Linked DNA regions of Drosophila melanogaster. The gene in region 2 interacts genetically with the main gene of each other region. Each region holds a gene or a part of one and is shown on either strand. Other genes may lie near its edges. The genes, in order: Rac1, puc, bsk and pan.

Region 1 (4,113 bases), on a different chromosome or scaffold from region 2:
GGAATTTCCGTGTAACTACCAATGCTTCCACAGCTGTGACTGGTCCCAGTCCCATCACCTTTGGCTCAATGCCACTCTGAGTCCAGCCCACAATCCTAGCCAGCGGCTTAAGACCCTTCCTGGCCACCTCCTCGCCGGACATCAGTAGTACGGCAGCAGCGGAGTCGTTGACGCCTGAGGCATTGCCAGCGGTTATAGAGCCGCCCTACATAAGCAAGAGAAAGTGGGTTAACTCTCGCTCTTCTTGTATTTATCTTAGACCCACCTCTTTGAAGGCTGCCCTGAGCTTCTGTATACCCTCGACGGTGCTGCCCGCCTTGATGTACTCATCCTTGCTGAATGTGGTCGTACCCTTGCGATCCTTGATCTCCACGGGCACAATCTCCTTGTCGAAGTAACCCTTTTTTTGGGCCTCCTCGGCTCGATTTTGCGACAGCACGGCATAGGCATCCTGGGCCTCACGACTGATGTTATACTTATCGGCCAGATTCTCGGCAGTGATGCCCATGTGTATGTTCTCCATGGCATCGGTTAGGCCGTCGTGGATCATCGAGTCCACCATAGTGCCCGGACCCATTTTGACGCCCTGCCGCAGATGCATGACGTGTGGAGCCAGGGACATGCTCTCCTGACCTCCTGCCACAACAATCTGTGCGTCTCCCGAGCGGATGGCCTGGTAACCCAGCGCTACAGTTCTGGAAATGGTAAAAACCATTGTAAATGTACGGAATTGTACGGGACAAACTCACTTTAAGCCGGAACCACATAGCATGTTTATGCCGTAGGCTGGCACCTGAATGGGCAGACCCGCCTTGAGTGAAGCCTGACGTGCTGGATTCTGACCCTGACCGGCGCTTAGAGCCTAACAAAGATATTTACATAACAAATAGATCGGTAAGATAGGAGGAGAAACAGTTATGATATGGGTCCCACCTGGCCCAAGATGACTTCGTTGACCTCCTGGCCCTCCACATTCGCCCGCCGGAGTACCTCCTGGATGACCACGCTGCCCAGGTCGGAGGCCTTCAGTTTAGAAAGCGTTCCATTGAAGCTACCTGTTGATTTTTCAGATTGGACAAACACGAAGAGAAAGTTTCCAATTAGAATGTGGTTATCGTGTATGGTGCAGCCGATTTATCTTGGTTTTACCAATGGGCGTGCGGGCGGCGGACACGATGAACACGTCAGACATTCTGGATGGGCAAGGAACAGGTGTTATTGACTTGGCTATTGAGCAGCAAATAAATTCTAATTTTCGAAATTGTATTATTTGCTGCCAGAAGTGTGACCAGGTGCAGCCAAAGCCCAGAAGCTGCACTTCTGGGGCCCAGCCCTACTAAAAACAGCTTGTTCTCACTTCAAATCACTGACATAAACAGGAAGACAATGAAATTATATATTTTGTAATTCGGATTTAATTATAAGTAAATGCGAAACTTAAGGGTTTTATGTTTGCTTTAAGGACGAAGCCTTGAAATAATTTACAAATCTTAGGGTGACCATTTCAATGCAGTTTTAATTTGTTTTAGTATTTTACAGCTTTCCCATGGTAAATTTGAACAGTCCAGCCGCGGTCACACTGCAGTACACAGAAAATTTACTTTTTTTGTTGAGAAAATTAGGGAAATTAACGCACAAAACGCGAGTTAAAGAGGCCCAGAACGTAAGGCGCGATCATCAGTCGCCCCGAGGACCACAAGGCACTGGAAAAGGAGTCGCGCTTCCAGAGATAACCCCGCAAAAGGACCCACGCAAGCAACAGTCCTCCGCCGCCGCCCCAAAAAGAACCAAAAACGCCTGAAGAAGAAGCACCCCCGCAATCAGAAATCTGCAATCTTCAATCTCCAATCTCTAGGCACATAGCACTCCAGTCCAGAAAGTCGAGGAAATCGAACCATGCAGGCGATCAAGTGCGTCGTCGTGGGCGACGGAGCCGTGGGAAAGACCTGCCTGCTGATCAGCTACACGACCAATGCCTTTCCCGGCGAGTACATACCCACCGTGTTCGACAACTACTCGGCCAACGTGATGGTGGACGCCAAGCCCATCAACCTGGGCCTGTGGGATACGGCCGGGCAGGAGGACTACGACCGACTGAGGCCACTGTCTTATCCCCAGACCGATGTCTTCCTCATCTGCTTCTCGCTGGTGAATCCGGCATCGTTCGAGAACGTGCGGGCCAAGTGGTATCCGGAGGTGCGCCACCACTGCCCCAGCACGCCCATCATCCTGGTGGGCACCAAGCTGGATTTGCGCGACGACAAGAACACAATCGAAAAGCTGAGGGACAAGAAACTGGCGCCCATCACCTATCCGCAGGGCCTGGCCATGGCCAAGGAAATCGGAGCGGTCAAGTATCTGGAGTGCTCGGCCCTGACGCAGAAGGGTCTGAAAACCGTTTTCGACGAGGCCATCCGGTCGGTTTTGTGCCCCGTGCTGCAGCCCAAGTCCAAGCGCAAGTGCGCCCTGCTCTAAAAGAGTTAGACAGTTGGTCGGTGGTGTTCCACCGACGGACTCTGCTTAAACGTAATATTATTAACTATAAAACCATTATGTAACCTAAGCGTGGCCAGGCTAAATGGCTCATCCGTAGTTTCTTTGTTACAATTTTGCCACTAATTTCCGCTGCTAGGGGGGGATTCCCCCAACCCAACCCAACCCAACTCTTGCTTTTGTTTCGTTTCCGAGTTCTGAGTTTGTTTCGAGTGTTCTGTAATTCATAATCCAATTATTCTGTTTATTCGTGCATTAATTTCAACTAAAAGTTAAAAGCGAGATGTTTCTAGACGAAATGGAGAACTGTAAACTCTAACTGTATTTTGTATTATTTAATAACTTTTGTAATTAAAATTAATGTTGTAAAACTGAGGTAAAACCAAAAACAAAACAAAACAAAAAAAAAAAAACAAACGAAAAACCTAAAAAAAATGTGAGACAAGTACGAGAATAGCCGCATAATGAGCATAAAGCATAGATGTCGCATAGATGTTGATCGAAGGTCCTGCGGAAGGGATCAGGATATTGAGTCAGTAAAGTAAACGTTCCATTGCAATTACACTTACATTATTACATACTTGTATTTAGATGTTGTTGGATATCGAAGCGACGGCGCGGGCGAGTAACAACTTTTTAAACTTTTGCTAGATCCAGGAACTATCAATATATATACATGTATGTATAAGATGAAAAGTCCTTCGTATACTATGTACTGAATTAAAGGCATCAAACTGAGCAACTTTGAATACTTTGTATTTTAAACGACAGATATTCAAGAAACAAAAGAAAAACAAAAAACATGAACGAAGCCAAGATAATTATATAAATGTGTCTATTTCAATGGAAATCAATAAAGCATAATAAAAGGAGTTTTGGTTTATTTATTGTGATATGTTTCTTATATTCTTCTGACATATCATATGTAGTGAATACTAGAAAACGATCTGCGCATATTAGGGAACTATGAGTGGGAAAGAGCGTAAAACTAGTTTTAGCTAAGTCGAATCACTCATCGAAAAGATATCTGAGTGCTCTTTTCTTCTCCAAGATCTTCGCAGCACCAGCACATATACTTACTTACATAGCTCACGCATTCAAATATTCTTGATTGTTTATCAAACTCCATTCGTCAATGGCCGACATTGGCCCTCGCTCGAGTGCTCACTGTACCCACAACGGAGACAGACTTATCAACGCCGAAGAACGAATTATTTTGCTTATCTCGGCGAAAGTCGAGAACCGAAAATAATCTAAATCAGCTTGAAACAAAATAACCGATTCCCGGAGCTCCTCACTTCTGGTTCTACACCGAGAAAGAAGTATTTATGGTTAGCATGAAAATAAAATATAAATATATAGAAGTAAATAGAATAAAAGCATTTTATTGAACATGTTGCAACTAAACTCTAAAATGATCTTGTTAATAATAGTTAGATGTAAAATGTAGTATCAAGTCCAGATAAGTGGCAATCGTAGGCATTCAAGATTCCTATTGTTTTTTCCGGTGCACTCACACTCTCTTTGGAATGTTCTCGCAGCTGGAAATAAATCGGGCTACAGCGAAAATCATTTATGTTTATACATATGTTACACAGGCAAAGGCGGCGTATCTGTGGC
Region 2 (5,002 bases):
GGTCGCATACCTTTGCGCTGGGTTCCCCATTTAGCCGACTTTCACTTACCGTAGACCGCCGGACTGGAGCAGCTGCGGGTTAGCGCCGGCGTCCGTCCGCCGCCGTTCATTGCCGTTGATGATGACGTCGTCGATGTCACTTCGTCACATGCCAGATTCTCCCTGGACCGCTTGTTGGGATAGTCCTTCTGATTGGCTGCCGAGGGAAGGAGACGAAGACCAGAAAATACGCATTAATGCGGTGATTTAAAAACTGATTTTAATTGGCGGTTAGCGATTTGCTTAATTTTATAACCCATGATGTCAGCACGGACCGTGTATGGACCGCAGTGCGAAAAACTTGTCGCGCCAGGTTCCCCGTTCAAAAAAACCGCAAAAATATTTCGTTTCGATTGCCGCCTGCCAAAACTGACGTAAGACATTTATTTCGGCTCTAGAGTTTTTTTTTCTTCTTTTTCGCCTGATTACGAGCGAATGCAAAGCCAAAGTTTTCCACATTCGCTCGCAGCTCACAAGTCGCTTATCACAGTGAGCAGGCATAATTAGAGAACGCTTTGTAAGCTAGCCCGATACCAATTTGATAGTATATTATAGTAAAACACAATCCAGATTATTCATTTATAGGTAAGTCTGAACAAAAGCTGTCAATAACAAATAGTTGAAAACTTTTTTAGTACGGCAATCTTGGGTTTTTAATGCTGGTATATTTATGTTCTTAGCATCATTCTGATTTCTTCGAATATTATTAAAATTAATCTTGTAGTAAATATTTGTTTTTAAAAACTTCAAGTACGATTTTCCCCCTACACTAAACTTTAATTTTAAGCCATGTTCCTTGATTGAAGGGTATCATTTCAGCCGTCCGTCAAAAGAAAAAACTTGATAAGATAACCAATGCTACAGTTTGTATTATGTTTTCAAAGTGGTCTTAGGAGTTCGGACTGTGCTGACTTGATCAAATCGACTTTATCAGCCTTGCCAGAAAGTATAGTCTCTTTTATGCTGAAAAGCAAAACAACTTCGAGCAAACTACTGGGGTACAAAATTGCTGTTATCAGCCAAGCGACCTCAAAAGCCAAAAAACAACACAGAAAAAAGCAACAGCCTCAAAAAAAGTACAACCAACTTTTCACCGCGGCAGGAAACGTTGGTTATGTTTTTTTTTTGTCGCTGTTGTTGTTGTTTGCGGCTAGTAAAACAAGTAAAATCGCATGCCAATAGTGCATTGCAAACCTCCAGGGGCGTCTGGGTCTGGAGTGTGTGGGTTTCGAAGGGGGCCTATGGTGTGGGAAACGGGGGGAGTGGTGTGAAGTAGAGTAGAAAATAGGAAAGTGCTAATTAGTATACAGTGGCTTGTTTACTTTTGGAAATGAGCTATGCATCAGCTTTCTGTTCACTATTTTGTCCAACTTTTGGGTTGCGATTCGCCATTATGTTTACTGTTATTAGTAATTCGCTGTTTATTGTCTAAAAAAAACTTGGCAACAAGGTAGTAAATCTTTCACTTTAAGATGATATTAATTTTAAGTGATTTATAAAGCGATTGTAATGCTTCAACTTATATTATATTTAATAAATTTCAACTATTCTGTAAATGTTTTGGAACTTTGACTCAACGAGGGCACCCCTTTTTAGTTTCGCCCCTGGCCCTTGCAACTAACCCTTCCTGCTCTTCCGCTCTTTCTTACCGACTCCCAACTTCAGTTTTGAGTTGTTGCCGCGGCTGTTGCTTTTTCTCCTTCTGCTCCCCTTTTGGCCTCCTCCTTCGCACGCTTCTCCCTTCTTCTGTTGTTGTTGTGCCGATGAATTCGTACTCGAAAGGTCGTTTCAAAGCGGGTTTTTCAGCGTTGCCAGGCCGCTTGAGAAACCTGCTTTGCTTTACATTTTTTCTGTTGTTTTATTTTTTTTATTTGTACTCGTATTTTGTTGGACTGACTGATTTTTTTTTTCATTTATCCAGCCAACAGAAACGAATCGAAACGCTTCTTTTGCTTTTATTTTTGAAAGACACGCGAATTGTGAGTCACGTATGGAGCGAAAAAAAGTAACTGACTCTGAGTCTGATCTCTCTCGAGTTCGTTTCTTTTTGCTTGTTTTTGCTTTTGTAGAAATGAAATGGAGACGCTTACGTGTGCTCCCCCTCTCTTTCGCGCCCCAGCAAAAGTAAACAGCATGCCGAGCGGTAAAAATCAAGAGAGCAAGAGAGAGGGATTAATACGTTCTCCCTGTCCCGCTCTTTTGATTGGTTTGAGTGTAATCTTAAATTGTACGATTTTTCTTATTGCTTATTTCTGTTGATTTGATTCTTTTTTTCGCTTCTTTTTGTACTTACCACCAATGCGATTGTTGTTGTTGGTATTTTGGATTGGCATAAATAACAGAAGACACGGCGCTTCTCGCTTTATCCGCATTTTCATTTCACTTTGTATATGACTCACGCTGTCGCCGTCTCCGTCGCACTCACAGCGTCCGTTGTGGCTGTTGTTGTTGCGTGCTGTTGACGTTGCCGTTGTAGTGTTGTTGCTATTATTGTTGCTGCTGCTCTGCGTTTCTCGATTCACACACATATGCACGCGCTCACACTACACACATACACATGGGGGCCTTTGGTTGTTTTAAAATTGATATATGTATATTTTATTTGTTGCTTTCTGCCCGTATAATAATCTATATTATTTAAGTATGATTTTCGGTAGGAGGGCTTTATTAGATAATCCCCGAGCCACTTGTTGAGCCACTTCCCGTTATAAAGTGTGTTGCAACCAAAAGTCGGGGGCCCAGAAATCGAGTTTTATTTCCACTTGTAGCACGCACACTTATTTTTAATTCATTAATCGAAAAACGCGCGGGTTGTAGATCTCGTTTTTATATTTTATTTTAGTATTAATTGTTTGCTTCCTCTTCTCACGATTCGTGTTAAAATTATTGTATCCAATGATAAATGTTTTTACCAGAAATATTCTAGTTTTAATTTCCTACTGTTTTCGCGCGGAGCTTAGTTATTTTTCGAACTCGTTGTGCAAAGATGTAGACACAACCGTTCGAAGCGGTATTCAAAAGGCGAATGAATGACCGAATGAATGAGCGCAAGACGAATGAACGGGCGCAAAACAAATTTGATAACCGAATTTGATAAAGACGCGATTAGTGTGACCAGAGGCTACTACAGTTAAAAAAGGCTAACAAGCTGAAACTTTACTCTACGCTCACCAAATTCACCAACACTGAAGACTTTGCGGTTGAATTTGAAATTAAAGTATATATAATAGCCACAATTGTTGACAAATGAAGTTAAAATAAGCTATTACATACTTTGACCTATGATCATAATACAATTTTTATTTATTTATTTTTTATTTATTACACGTTAAAGGTTAATTATTTTCGAAACATGCTGACATTTGACTTTGTATAATTGCTTTTGACATGCTGTATATATACTAATTTTCTTTTATCTCGGGCTCAAACCTTTTGTTAGTTTATATTGATGAATTCCATTTATTCATTATAATTTTTATGAATATAGCAATGCTCGTTATAAACCTCTTTAAATTCTTCGTTGTCAAAACATTTTATTTGTCACTACAGAGATGCGCTCATGTCTACCCAAGTGCCTCAGCAAACCAATCCCAACCAAACCCGTCAAACCCCACCTGAATCTCCGCAACCCAGTAACATGGAACAAATGTTTGCTCGCTTCGAAGGAATGGTCGAAAGGATGATGGAGAAGATGTTCTCGCAAATGACGCAGCTTGTTGCTTCCATCCTCAACGCAAAAGTATGCAAAGCCTAAAAATAGTTATTTGGAATGCTAACGGCCTGCAGAGGAGCAGAGCCGAGGTGGAACACCTCCTAAAAACAGATGCCATCGATGTACTACTGGTATCAGAAACCCACTTTTGTCCCAGATCCCATTTTAGCATTAGCGGCTACGATGTCATCCCTGCCAACCATCCATCTGGCAGAGCGCGCGGAGGAGCAGCCATGCTCATCAGGAGTGGCATCCAGTACACGGAGCTACCTGCGTTTCAGGAGGAATGGGCCCAGTGTGCCCTGGCCAGAATCTCCAGCCTACATGGAGACATCACCGTTGGAGCGGTCTACTTCCCACCTAGACACTCGATCACCGAGACTCACCTACAAGATTTTTTTGAGTCCTTTGGACCTCGCTTTATAGCAGCTGGTGACTTCAACGCCAAACACTCCTGGTGGGGGTCCCGCTCCATCAACCCCAAAGGCAGAACGCTCCACAGATTCCTGCAGAGCAGAAGACTGGATTGCCACTCCTCTGGTGAGCCTACCCACTGGCCTTCAAACCCTTCCTTGCTGCCCGACCTCCTGGATTTTGCTATCTCCAAAGGCATAGGGCAAGACAGACTAACTTGCTCCAACTATAACAAGCTGATATCCGACCACAGCGCTATAAAAATGCTTCTCAACATCCCCGTCCTCAAAAAAGAGTTGCCCAGAAGACTCACCGGGAAGCACACTGATGCCTCCAAGTTCACACTCTGGATGCTGTCCTCCCTGCACCCGGATCCTCCACTCTCCACTCCAAGCAACATCGATGCGGCAATCAAAACTCTCACGGATGAGATGTACAATGCTGCTGAGTTTGCCAATCCTCCTCCTTCAACGTCCCCAAGAACTCCCGGTAGAGACCTTCACCTCTGGTCTCCAGAAATTGCGGCCTTCGTAGCGGAAAAAAGGCGCCTCAGGAGAATCTGGTTCTTCTCGCGCAACCCAAGGGACAAGGCAGCACTCAACAGAGCCATCAAGGAACTCAAGGACAAGCTGTGTACCCTACGGCAAGACTCCTTCGACAGATTCCTTGAGGAGCTGGAACCTGGTGACCCGCAACATAATCTGTGGCAAGTCACGCGTCATATCAGGAGGCCTGCAAAGAAGGCGTCGCCGGTGCGCAAAGCGGACGGCTCTTGGTGCCGCTCTGAAGCCGAAAGAGCTGAAGCGTTTGCAGATCACCTCCAGAATGCATTCTCAC
Region 3 (5,376 bases), on a different chromosome or scaffold from region 2:
CCACACAAAAGTATTTCGCTAATTATTGTTGCGGAAACTTGGGAAAACTTTCAGTGAAAATACCTACCCATATATTCTTGAGTCCACATTATGGCTCCCCACATCCTTTTTTGTAAATAAAAGCACGAGCGAAATGCAGACTATAAATGCCGAGTATTTGTTCATATTGCTTAATCTAGCTAACAATATGAAGCCTTTTGTTATTTCAATAGTCCAATTGACATGCCAACGATTCCGAAAATATTTTTGTATTTATCCTTTCGCGAAAACTTTATGTGGCATACAACATTTCATCCCCCGACGAAGTCGTTGGGGTTGTTGACTCCTTATCGATGAATCGATATATTTAGGAGTGCTATGACTCGGAACAAAGGAATTACACTATAATTTCTTATAATTAATAATCCAAATATCTTCAAAAGCTTTATTTATTTTATTAAAGATGGTTGTATAACGACTTTAGTCTCATTTAAAGTACACTTTCCCTTTTCACAGTGAAATAAGGGTAGAAAAATTATGCGAAATACACAATAATATGAATTTAACATTAACAATGTATTTGGTTAAAGCATTTATCATAATGATCTAGAGATTATCTATTGCTTTCGGTGTTCCAATCGTAACTTATCGTTACTCCATGCTGTCGACAGTTTCCTCGGTAACAAAGCCCACAATGCTAAATGCAGTTTCCTCGCTGATCCACAGAAGTCCCACGATTAGTGCCTCCAACACTCCGATGGCAGCACCGGCGCAGATATCCAAAATATAATGACGCTGGAGGATGAGCCGTGAGATGGCCACGCTTACAGCCCAAGCTGTGACCGGCATTAGGAATATGATGTGAAGCGGATACAGCTTGGCGAAGAACAGCAGCACAAAGAACGCCCGGGAGGCATGACCTGAGGGAAAGCTGAACTTATCGGGTCCAATGGTCAGCATATCCTTGCTGGCCACCGGTCGCCTGCGACGAACAAGCGCCTTCAGCACGGCCACGATCACTACGTCGAGTATCAGGCCGAAGAGCATATTGACTTGCATTTGATACAAGCTCTTCGAGCTGAGCAACCAGATGAAGGCGATCCATGAGACAAACCAGGCGATTCCATCGCATGATATCTCCAGAAATCTGCTGTGGATCCGCAGGGATTTGAAGAACGACAGATTGGAGACGGCTACTACAAAATGCTTCGACACCTGAACATCCTTCTCCAATAGGTATTTAAGTGCTGGTGATGACTGCAAGGACAAGATTTTAAAATTAGCACTTATCAGCTTATGTGATTCATCAGTGGCCAAAAACCAACCGTCCTCATATCGCTGTGTATTTCAACTCTTTTGTTTTTATTTATTGTTAGTGATGACAGTATTTCTCATTCGTCATTCGATGTATACTCGATAAGTCGAGCAAAGGAATATCTAATGACCGGAACGGTGAAATGAAACACTGCGCCAACTTAGTTTTTGGTCTTTATTAAATAAATTGCATTTGTATATGTTTATTTGTAAGTTATTAACACTTATTAGGTTTTAAACCCCTAATTAAACCTAATTTTAATCAAAAGTCGATTGGCTGACTTTAGCCGTTTCTGGTTTTGGTCCTACTGCAATCTGGTCACATCGATTTAAGTAACTTTGTTGTGATCGAATATTCCAATAGATTTTCGTATATTGTATTGTATCCATGTACAATTATTCTCATGCGAAAGTGCCGCAGATAGTTGATTCTTAAATTTCAATAACATTAACATAGTTTAAAATGCTCGCCACTTTGAGTGCCCAGTGTGTAGAATAAAATAGAAAAAAAATCGATTTTATATTTTCACAAGAAATTCTGTACTTCTTCGTTAAATGGTAAATAAATATTCTATTACGTTCCATTCACATCAAATATCGAATCACCGAAACACTCCTGCAAAACGTGCCATAATCGATTGAAAGCAATTATAGTTGTGCCGGTTATGAAAAAAATTATTGATATTTAACATAAAATGTCAACTGCCCAAAGAGTGTATGTACCTATGTATGCGCAAATGTCTAACGTTTACATATCGACACTACCCGAAGCGTAGACCGCTTTATTATCTGCAGCGCAAACGAGCGCTTTTTCGATGTACGAATACGGGGAATATCTTTTATCTGAGAGATAGTTTGAAAAGTTACTAAATTATCGACCCACATTTGTGTGGCTGTATGTGCATATGTATGTATGTGGCTTACATCTTACACATATGTATACCAGTAGAAGTTTACAGTTTTCATCCGCATACAAATCGTGTGTATGTACATATTTACACAGGCAACGGCATGCATACACATGAACGCTATGTACATCGCTGTGGTCCAACATTCCGTACTTTTATGTTTAAGCCGGACATATCGATTTTAAATCGGTTTTTTTTCCTGTGCGTGCCGCTAAACACTTTGCTCAAAGAACGAAACGCTCGGTTATTTCTGTTGGGTGTTTTTCCAACCATATTCGACATGTGTTCGGCAAACATTTAAATGCTTATCAATAGAAAAGGGGGTTCGGCATTCGAAGTCGGCTCAAATAAGTGACTGCGTTATGCAATTGTATCTTTTTGAAGGAACTCGATATTTTTTGCTCGTGGTTTGGCAACAAACTCGCCACACACTAGCCAGTAAATTTCACCCCTCGCGACAACAGAGACCCACTTAATGGCCATAACATTCTGCCGAAATAAGGCCAGGCAAAGTTAATGTTTTCCTACCCCCTAATTCCAGACGAAGTTGTCTGAAAACTGCCTCCACCCATTCAGAATGGAGCCATACATACGGACGTCTTTGCTCCTTATATAAAACAGAATCACACTGTAAAACCGTATTGATTTATCTTATTTACCCTCTTGAAAAGGCCGATATGCTCCTTGCTCTCAACTAGTAATAAATAAAATCAGTGAACAATGACGACAGCTCAGCACCAACACTACACCGTCGAGGTGGGGGACACCAACTTCACCATCCACAGTCGGTACATTAATCTACGGCCCATAGGATCAGGTGCCCAAGGAATAGTATGGTAAGTGGTTATCAATATGTTATTACATATAATACATTTAACAATTTTTTGGCTTAAACAATTAAGATATTTCGCATGAGTATGAAGTCATATTTGTAACGCTCCATTGTATATTAGATTAGATTAGATGGGATTAGCTGGAATATGAAAAAAAAAAATAACAAATTTAATGCATTTCAGCGCCGCTTACGATACTATCACCCAGCAAAATGTGGCGATTAAGAAACTATCTCGACCATTCCAAAATGTAACCCATGCCAAGCGAGCATATAGGGAATTCAAGCTAATGAAGCTTGTTAACCATAAAAACGTATGAAACTTGCACCTTTAACTTTAACAAATTTCTACTAAACATAGGTATTTAATCCGTAGATAATTGGCTTACTTAATGCTTTTACGCCGCAAAGGAACTTGGAAGAGTTTCAGGATGTCTACCTGGTCATGGAGCTGATGGACGCTAATCTCTGCCAGGTCATCCAAATGGACTTGGATCACGACAGAATGTCCTATTTGCTTTATCAAATGTTGTGCGGAATAAAACATTTACACTCAGCAGGAATTATTCACAGAGTACGTACAGTATGAATACATCTTTAAAATGAGTATGAAATATATGAAATACTTCATTTGCAGGACTTAAAGCCATCCAATATAGTTGTAAAGGCCGACTGCACTCTAAAAATTTTGGATTTCGGTCTGGCACGTACTGCAGGAACTACCTTTATGATGACTCCCTATGTGGTCACCCGATATTACAGGGCTCCAGAGGTCATTTTGGGCATGGGATACACAGAGAACGTGGACATATGGTCCGTCGGTTGCATTATGGGCGAAATGATACGGGGCGGTGTGCTGTTTCCTGGAACGGATCATATAGATCAGTGGAATAAAATTATTGGTATGTTGCTGCTTAAATAACTTGATTCTCGTTATGATTGTCAACTTTTACGTTTTTTCAGAGCAATTAGGTACACCATCACCCTCGTTTATGCAACGGTTACAGCCAACCGTCCGAAACTATGTGGAAAATCGTCCTAGATACACTGGATACTCATTTGATAGACTTTTCCCCGATGGCTTGTTTCCAAATGATAATAATCAGAATAGCCGCCGGAAGGCTTCTGACGCTAGAAATCTTCTTAGTAAAATGCTAGTCATTGATCCAGAGCAGCGGATATCTGTGGACGAGGCTTTGAAGCATGAATATATCAACGTGTGGTATGATGCTGAGGAAGTGGATGCTGTAAGTGATTCTGGCATAAACTGGATTTCTAGGAATGTTGAATGTTTTTAATCGCTTAATTGCATGCATCTCTTGCAGCCCGCTCCGGAGCCATATGATCACAGCGTGGACGAAAGGGAACACACTGTGGAGCAGTGGAAGGAGCTAATCTATGAGGAAGTCATGGACTACGAAGCACACAATACAAATAATAGAACGCGGTAGAGAACGACTTTTTCCTCCTTAGTCAGTCACAAGAAAACTAAAGCTTACCAACAATACGGCGTGTATTGTTAAATTATTACAACAAATAAAATATTCAAATTGTATTTAAAAATATAGTAACCATTAAAAAATAAAATCAATATGCGAAACTTTGTAATTTCTTACTCATCCTTGTTTTTTGAGCCCGCTTTCTTAAGTTAAATCGTTAAAATACCAGTTTAATCATTTCATTGTCCTGATTTCAGGAGCTAATTACATTTTAATCTTTGTATAAATTCATAAAATTTAAATGGAAAAGTTTAACCATATAAATTATTTCGGTATATAAAGTCGATACATACTTTTAAAATTTTGTTTCATACAAGAATATGGAAAGTAGATAATTTAGTTACCGATAAAAACATTTCTAAAATACAAAAAATTTAAAATGATGATTAAATAAAAAACTGTTATACTAAATTTAAACGAAACAAACGGTCATTCGATAACTCAATTAGTATCGAATAAGCCGGCGTGTAAATCGGGCTGGCAACTCTCACCGGTGTAGAGATCGGGATGGCAACTTCGTACTGTTATTCCTATGCTGCGATAACGATAACAGCAAAGTGTCATCGCGAATAAATGTGGGTTTGATAATAAAGAATTGCGTTGGTGAACAATAATAATACAAATGCTAAATGTATCGCGCGGATAACTAGTAAACACTGATTTCGCGCATATCGGGCATACGGGCAGCTAGACGTCTTAGGTAACACATTTCCCAGCCACATTGGCGTTGAGGTATTATTTCCCATATCCATGTGCGTTTGTAAATGATACCACCAGAGTGTGCCATATGTATCGTTGTTTGTACATACATGCCTACGGGGAAAAATAACTCGCAGATACATAT
Region 4 (5,215 bases), on a different chromosome or scaffold from region 2:
TTTTTGGCACGGTTTCTTTACCTAGTTTGTATACAATTTTGAAATTATTAAATATTATTAATATTAATTTTTTAAAAACATCCATAACGGTTTTAAACCTCTGTCGTCAGCCTTTTTTAAACTTTGAGTACATAACACATATTTGTAAAATTTGTTGAGATATATTTTCTGAAAATGTAACATTTGTTTGTATCCTTGCAAAAATTATATCCTAAATATAAAATATATATAAATATATATGTTAATTTCAACAAAAAGTGTAACTATTATGATTTCGAAACCTAACATTTCTAGGTTTGTTAGTTCCCGGAACTACTCTGCTAGTGATCAGGAACATGTATTCTATATATATATACTAAATATATATATAGTAAATATATATATATAGTAAATATATATATACTAAATATATATGTACTAAATATATATATATATATACTAAATATATCTATTCTAAATGTATATATATACTAAATATATATACTAAGAGAATATATATCGTAAAGGCTTCCATCTAGCTGTTGCATACTTCTATTTTAATTGTTGTTTACTATAAAAGCTAGTAGGTTGATATTCACCGTACAGATCCTAGAGACCAAGACGCAGCGCCACATTGTTGACTCATGTTGCCACGCCCACAAGCCGCACAAAACTTCCACGCCCACACTTTTGAAAAACGTGTTGATATTTTTTTTATTTTATTTAGATTTATTAGTCTTGTAAATTTCTATCGATTTTCAATTTTTGTCACGCTCACTTTAACGCTCTAAAGCCGCCGAACCAGTCACTCCCACGCCTTGGAACAATTTTAAAATTTTTTTTCATTTTACTCCTCAATATCTATTGACATCCCAGAAAAATTATGAAATTTCACATTCACACTAGCTGAGTAACGGGTACCTGATAGTCGGGGAACTCGATTATAGCATTCTCTCTTGCTTTTTTCTTAGGTCGAGTCACTGGACTTTAGAGGCCTTTTTTAAAATGCATGGATTTAAAATGTATTAAAGTAGGTTTTTTATTTGTCTAAAAAACTTCTTTGTGAAAAGCGAAAAATATTTATATATATATATACAAATATATTTTTTGTTGACAACCGAAAATAAACTTTCTTCGAAGACATATTAATACTAACGAACATAATTATGAGCAAGTAAACAGTTGAATTGGCCAATTAAGATTAGTGATAAGAAGTTTTACACATCTTTAATTTAGAATCAACCGATTTTTTCAACCGTTTTCAGTGAATAAATAAATTTCTAATATATATCCTCGAAAAATGTAATTTTCAAGTACTAATTTATAAAAAATATTTTGATAATATTTTTTAAATCAAAATGTTAAATTATTTGCTTTAAGTTAAGGTGGTCTAGAAAATTTAAATTTAACTCAAGCTTAATATAATATTGTTTAGTTTACTGTATTCCGTTGTTGAAGCCCATACATATATATATAAATATATATATTCGTAGATATGATTTGAAATTACATGGCGCCATCTATATCTGAAGGCACTTGAGTTTTGCACGTGTTATGTTGCCAGGTAAAATCCAAAAAATTTAACATACATACACAAAATATGAATAAAATTAAAAAATGGGTTACTTTTAATCTGGAATTACGTATAGAAAAAATGTAAATTAAAGTCAAATTTGAAAAGAGTCGTACCAACATTGGATGCTATGAATATTTTCATGTAAAATATTTGTAAAAATACATCATTTTGCGATTTTACTTGTAAAAATGTAAATTTACGCAGCAGTAAAATTCACATTACACAGAAGTACATATTTTTAAAATACAGATTAAACAACTTTATTATTTCTTAAGAATGAATTAAGAATGAAAAAAAAAACAAATTTAATAGTATCTATTACTTTTTTTTTACAAATTCGTTACAAACATGTGCTCGATACAAAGTTTGTGCGCAATGTTTCTCACGCAGTTATTTTCGAGCCGATGGCTCGTCCTTGTCTCTCTTGTTCCGCGTCGTACACCTTTATCGTTAAGTTTTATTTTTAAAGACCGAAAGAGAGTAAATCAGACAATTGTTGTGGCAGTATATACAATTTTGCGAAAAATCTATCTAAAGGAATCAATGCCTAAAAATAGTTGAACAATTTCCGGAAAGAACAATTTATGAACACAAATGAAAAAAATAATCTTTATTCGATTTGTCCATTAGAACACAAGTAGAATAATAACACGAAGTGTATGATGAAATCGAGTGTTTACATATAAAGTGTATTTATAAATTAAATATAAGTTTTAAAAATAGGATGTCATCTTTTGTTTCCATAATAATACTAATATAGTGTTGATCGATTTAGTAATATAAATATGTCGGAATAAATGGAGATAGTATATAAACCGATTATTGACCATATTAACAGTGAACTAAATAAGTAAAACAATTGTGGCTTCCTCTAACACAATGTGGAAATTACAATTAACAAACAAATAAAACAAAAAAAAATTACGACCTCATATTGCAACAGTCGAGCAACAGGGTAACGTTAATTAAAATGAGATTTCTATATAATTAAAAAAATGAAAACAACGCATGGATTCTGGATTATAACATAAATATTACGCTATCTAAATCTCATTAATATTGCAAGAAAATTTTATAAACAACGAACCCTGTATGAAATGTTGAAAAGTTGTACAATGGTGCTTGAAAAAGTACTAATTTAATTAAATTTGAGTCATCAAGGTGAACTAAGATTCTAAAGGTTAATAGAAATGTTTAAAATTTTGAAATACAATTTATCCAATAAATAATATAAATAAAATATAAAACAAAAAGTTAACGAATGACTAACACCGAACGGATTTTAACAGCAGGCTCCCACAAAATCCGATAATGCCACACTGTGGAACAACTAATAGTGAAATTAATTTAAACTCAAACGAATTAATCAGTTACCAGAAAAAGAAGAGCAATGAGGATCTACAAAAAAAGCACGATAAAAAATGTTCAATCAATTTGAAAACGAGCCAGGTCCCTGATGGTGGGTTCAATAACCAATATACGCAATTAACTGCCAACAAAATAGAACAATATAACTGCAATGATTTGGATAAAGTTTGTATTGTACCATCAAGTAGATCAGACGGAATGGAGGCATCGTTTTCCGAACTTCTTTTAAGTCCGAATAAATTAATTTCTCAGCCTTGGCAAACCGCTGAAGAAATAGAAAATTGGCAAAATGACAGTTTTCGCCAACGAAATGAAATGTTTTCTTGTATATATACGAATAGTATGCTAAATCAGCAGCCATGCTCGCAGCAGCAGCTTTTGGCCACACAACTTTTATACGCTCGGCTTCTTCGGTCTCAGCTAGCTGAACGGGAATTTCATTCGAATAAATTCAACATGGTTCATTATTCGGGATCTAAAAAGACCATGCTTCGAGAAGATGAGCTTCTGTCAACCCCATCTTCGCAGGATAATAATAACAATATTAAGTTAATTAAAGATATCGAAAACAGCATAAGTTGTGTAGATCCCCCTTTGTTTGAATTTTCTAACGTTCATCAAAGAGCAGAACAAAAAAATAAACAAGACGACAAAAATTGTTACTCACCAAAATTAAAATCGAACAAGGAAGCCCTAGATGGGTACGACTTACAACACACGTGTGATTTTATCAGGGAGCAAAAAAACATTCTTATCGACATTAAAAAAAAACTAGATAATCTCTCAGATAGCTCAGGTAAATTTAGGAAAAGGTTAAGTGTACGTCAAAGTCACATTGAAGTAAATAATGGCTCTAATTCAGCCCTTGAGGAAAGTGTAAGACGACAACTAAATGGAAATCGCAAGTCTATTGAAAACTTACTGGAAGAGGTAAAACGATTATATAATCAATGGAGCAGCGCTGAGCTCTATTATGTTCGCAGCTTACAACGATTAGGACTCCCATCAGAGGAAGATGGTGAATATACATCTACACCAACACATACTATCATGGCATTAGCTGCTATAGCACTGTCTAATGAAAGTATTTTGCCACAGAAAACAAATGCAGTGCACTCTAAGATTCCAGATGTTGAAAGTGAGTCCGATTTTTTTTTGACCTCAGCAAAACCTAAAACGTTGGTCGAAATAGAAGATATAATATTACAACTCGCATCATCTGTTAATATGCATCAATCCAGCTCTGCTAGCACCCCTCATGAATCCTACAGTGATAGTGTTAAAAGCGATTGCGAAGAATCAAATTCAGCACCCACTTGCATATGGCATTCGACAAGGCAAACCTTTCGCCACAAAAAAGACGTAGAGCCTTGTAGCACTGCAGCTGAGATTATTTTAGAATATGCTTCATTGTCTTCATCTTCTAACATTGAAACCTCTCGCTTGCTTACATCTGCATCAAATTTAACAGATGTTACAGAAAATTATAATGTCACAACGCAATTGCCTATTGTGTTTAATTACAATCGAGAAAGTTCAGCTGAGTCAATCGTTACCGATCCTCTACTTGTTCCTGAGTTTTCTACTGCACCTTCAACCCCATCGACTGGTAGTAATAGTGGATGCTCTACTGGAATGGTTTCTGGAATTTTCGGGCTAAGTCAAAACCGAAGAAAACAAAGACTTGCAAGGCACATTGAAACTCTGACTACAAATTCTTTTAAATCGAATGCAATAAGGGGAAATGTTGACAACGAAATCACTAATCAGCTGAAAACGTCGCCATCAATTAGAGCATTGCCAACTGAAAATGTTTCCCATTTAATTACTAAGACATTGTCTTCGGCTAATGCATCTTTAACAGCGCAGGAACTTTCCATAACTAACCTGTTTAAAGAGCGCCTATGCGCTTTACAGGGAAATGCCGGATCAATGAAAACTGAAATTTTTCCAATGATAGATGCCCCATACGACTTAAGTATTGGAAGCAAGACAAAACACATGTAATTTTATTTCGCCTTACTTGGTTAAACCCTTTATTTCTTTGTAAAACTGTTGAAGTCGATGCTCACTCCTAATAGTACCTATTTTCTTTAATGAACTGTTGATTATTGCAAGCAGCCTGTAGTTGTAAATTATACAAAAAATGTTGTAAGTTATAATAAATTGGTTTCGAGTTTTTAAAGTTTTTTTTTTGTTTTATTTAAAACATTTTTTTCTGTTTATGTGGAATGTTCAATGTGTAGTCTTTTGATTTTTCCCGCTCTACAATACTTATACGCTTATATTTGA

What was found.
Region 1: of puc (region 2) and Rac1, changing one enhances a phenotype caused by changing the other (phenotypic enhancement), as found in Drosophila melanogaster (3 studies listed by BioGRID).
Region 3: of puc (region 2) and bsk, changing one suppresses a phenotype caused by changing the other (phenotypic suppression), as found in Drosophila melanogaster (4 studies listed by BioGRID).
Region 4: of puc (region 2) and pan, changing one suppresses a phenotype caused by changing the other (phenotypic suppression), as found in Drosophila melanogaster (3 studies listed by BioGRID).

The regions. Positions count from the first base shown.
Region 1 is NT_037436.4:1,300,130-1,304,242, reverse strand, and holds Rac1 (Rac1), read left to right. Parts: upstream 1-1,559; 5' UTR 1,560-1,896; coding exon 1,897-2,475; 3' UTR 2,476-3,364; downstream 3,365-4,113. Other genes in the region: Acat2 (Acetyl-CoA acetyltransferase 2), read right to left, coding at 20-205, 266-695, 750-862, 934-1,055, 1,150-1,192. UniProt on the Drosophila melanogaster protein: During various developmental processes, regulates changes in cell morphology in response to extracellular signals.
Region 2 is NT_033777.3:8,103,426-8,108,427, reverse strand, and holds the start of puc (puckered), read right to left. Parts: upstream 3,097-5,002; 5' UTR 2,568-3,096; coding exon 2,333-2,567; intron 1,941-2,332; exon of another isoform or gene 1,689-1,940; intron 197-1,688; coding exon 50-196; intron 1-49.
Region 3 is NT_033779.5:10,246,756-10,252,131, reverse strand, and holds bsk (basket), read left to right. Parts: upstream 1-1,630; 5' UTR 1,631-1,851; intron 1,852-2,389; exon of another isoform or gene 2,390-2,872; 5' UTR 2,873-2,921; coding exon 2,922-3,037; intron 3,038-3,217; coding exon 3,218-3,347; intron 3,348-3,409; coding exon 3,410-3,607; intron 3,608-3,670; coding exon 3,671-3,935; intron 3,936-3,996; coding exon 3,997-4,280; intron 4,281-4,358; coding exon 4,359-4,484; 3' UTR 4,485-4,630; downstream 4,631-5,376. Other genes in the region: Ror, read right to left, coding at 68-165; CG31717 (uncharacterized protein), read right to left, coding at 631-1,236, 1,305-1,313. UniProt on the Drosophila melanogaster protein: Mitogen-activated protein kinase and key component of the c-Jun N-terminal kinase (JNK) pathway which phosphorylate and activate transcription factors involved in a wide range of biological processes including response to various stresses, cellular proliferation, differentiation and migration, and regulation of cell shape.
Region 4 is NC_004353.4:88,348-93,562, forward strand, and holds the start of pan (pangolin), read left to right. Parts: upstream 1-2,007; 5' UTR 2,008-2,866; coding exon 2,867-4,926; intron 4,927-5,215. UniProt on the Drosophila melanogaster protein: Segment polarity protein. Functions together with arm to transduce the Wingless (Wg) signal in embryos and in developing adult tissues.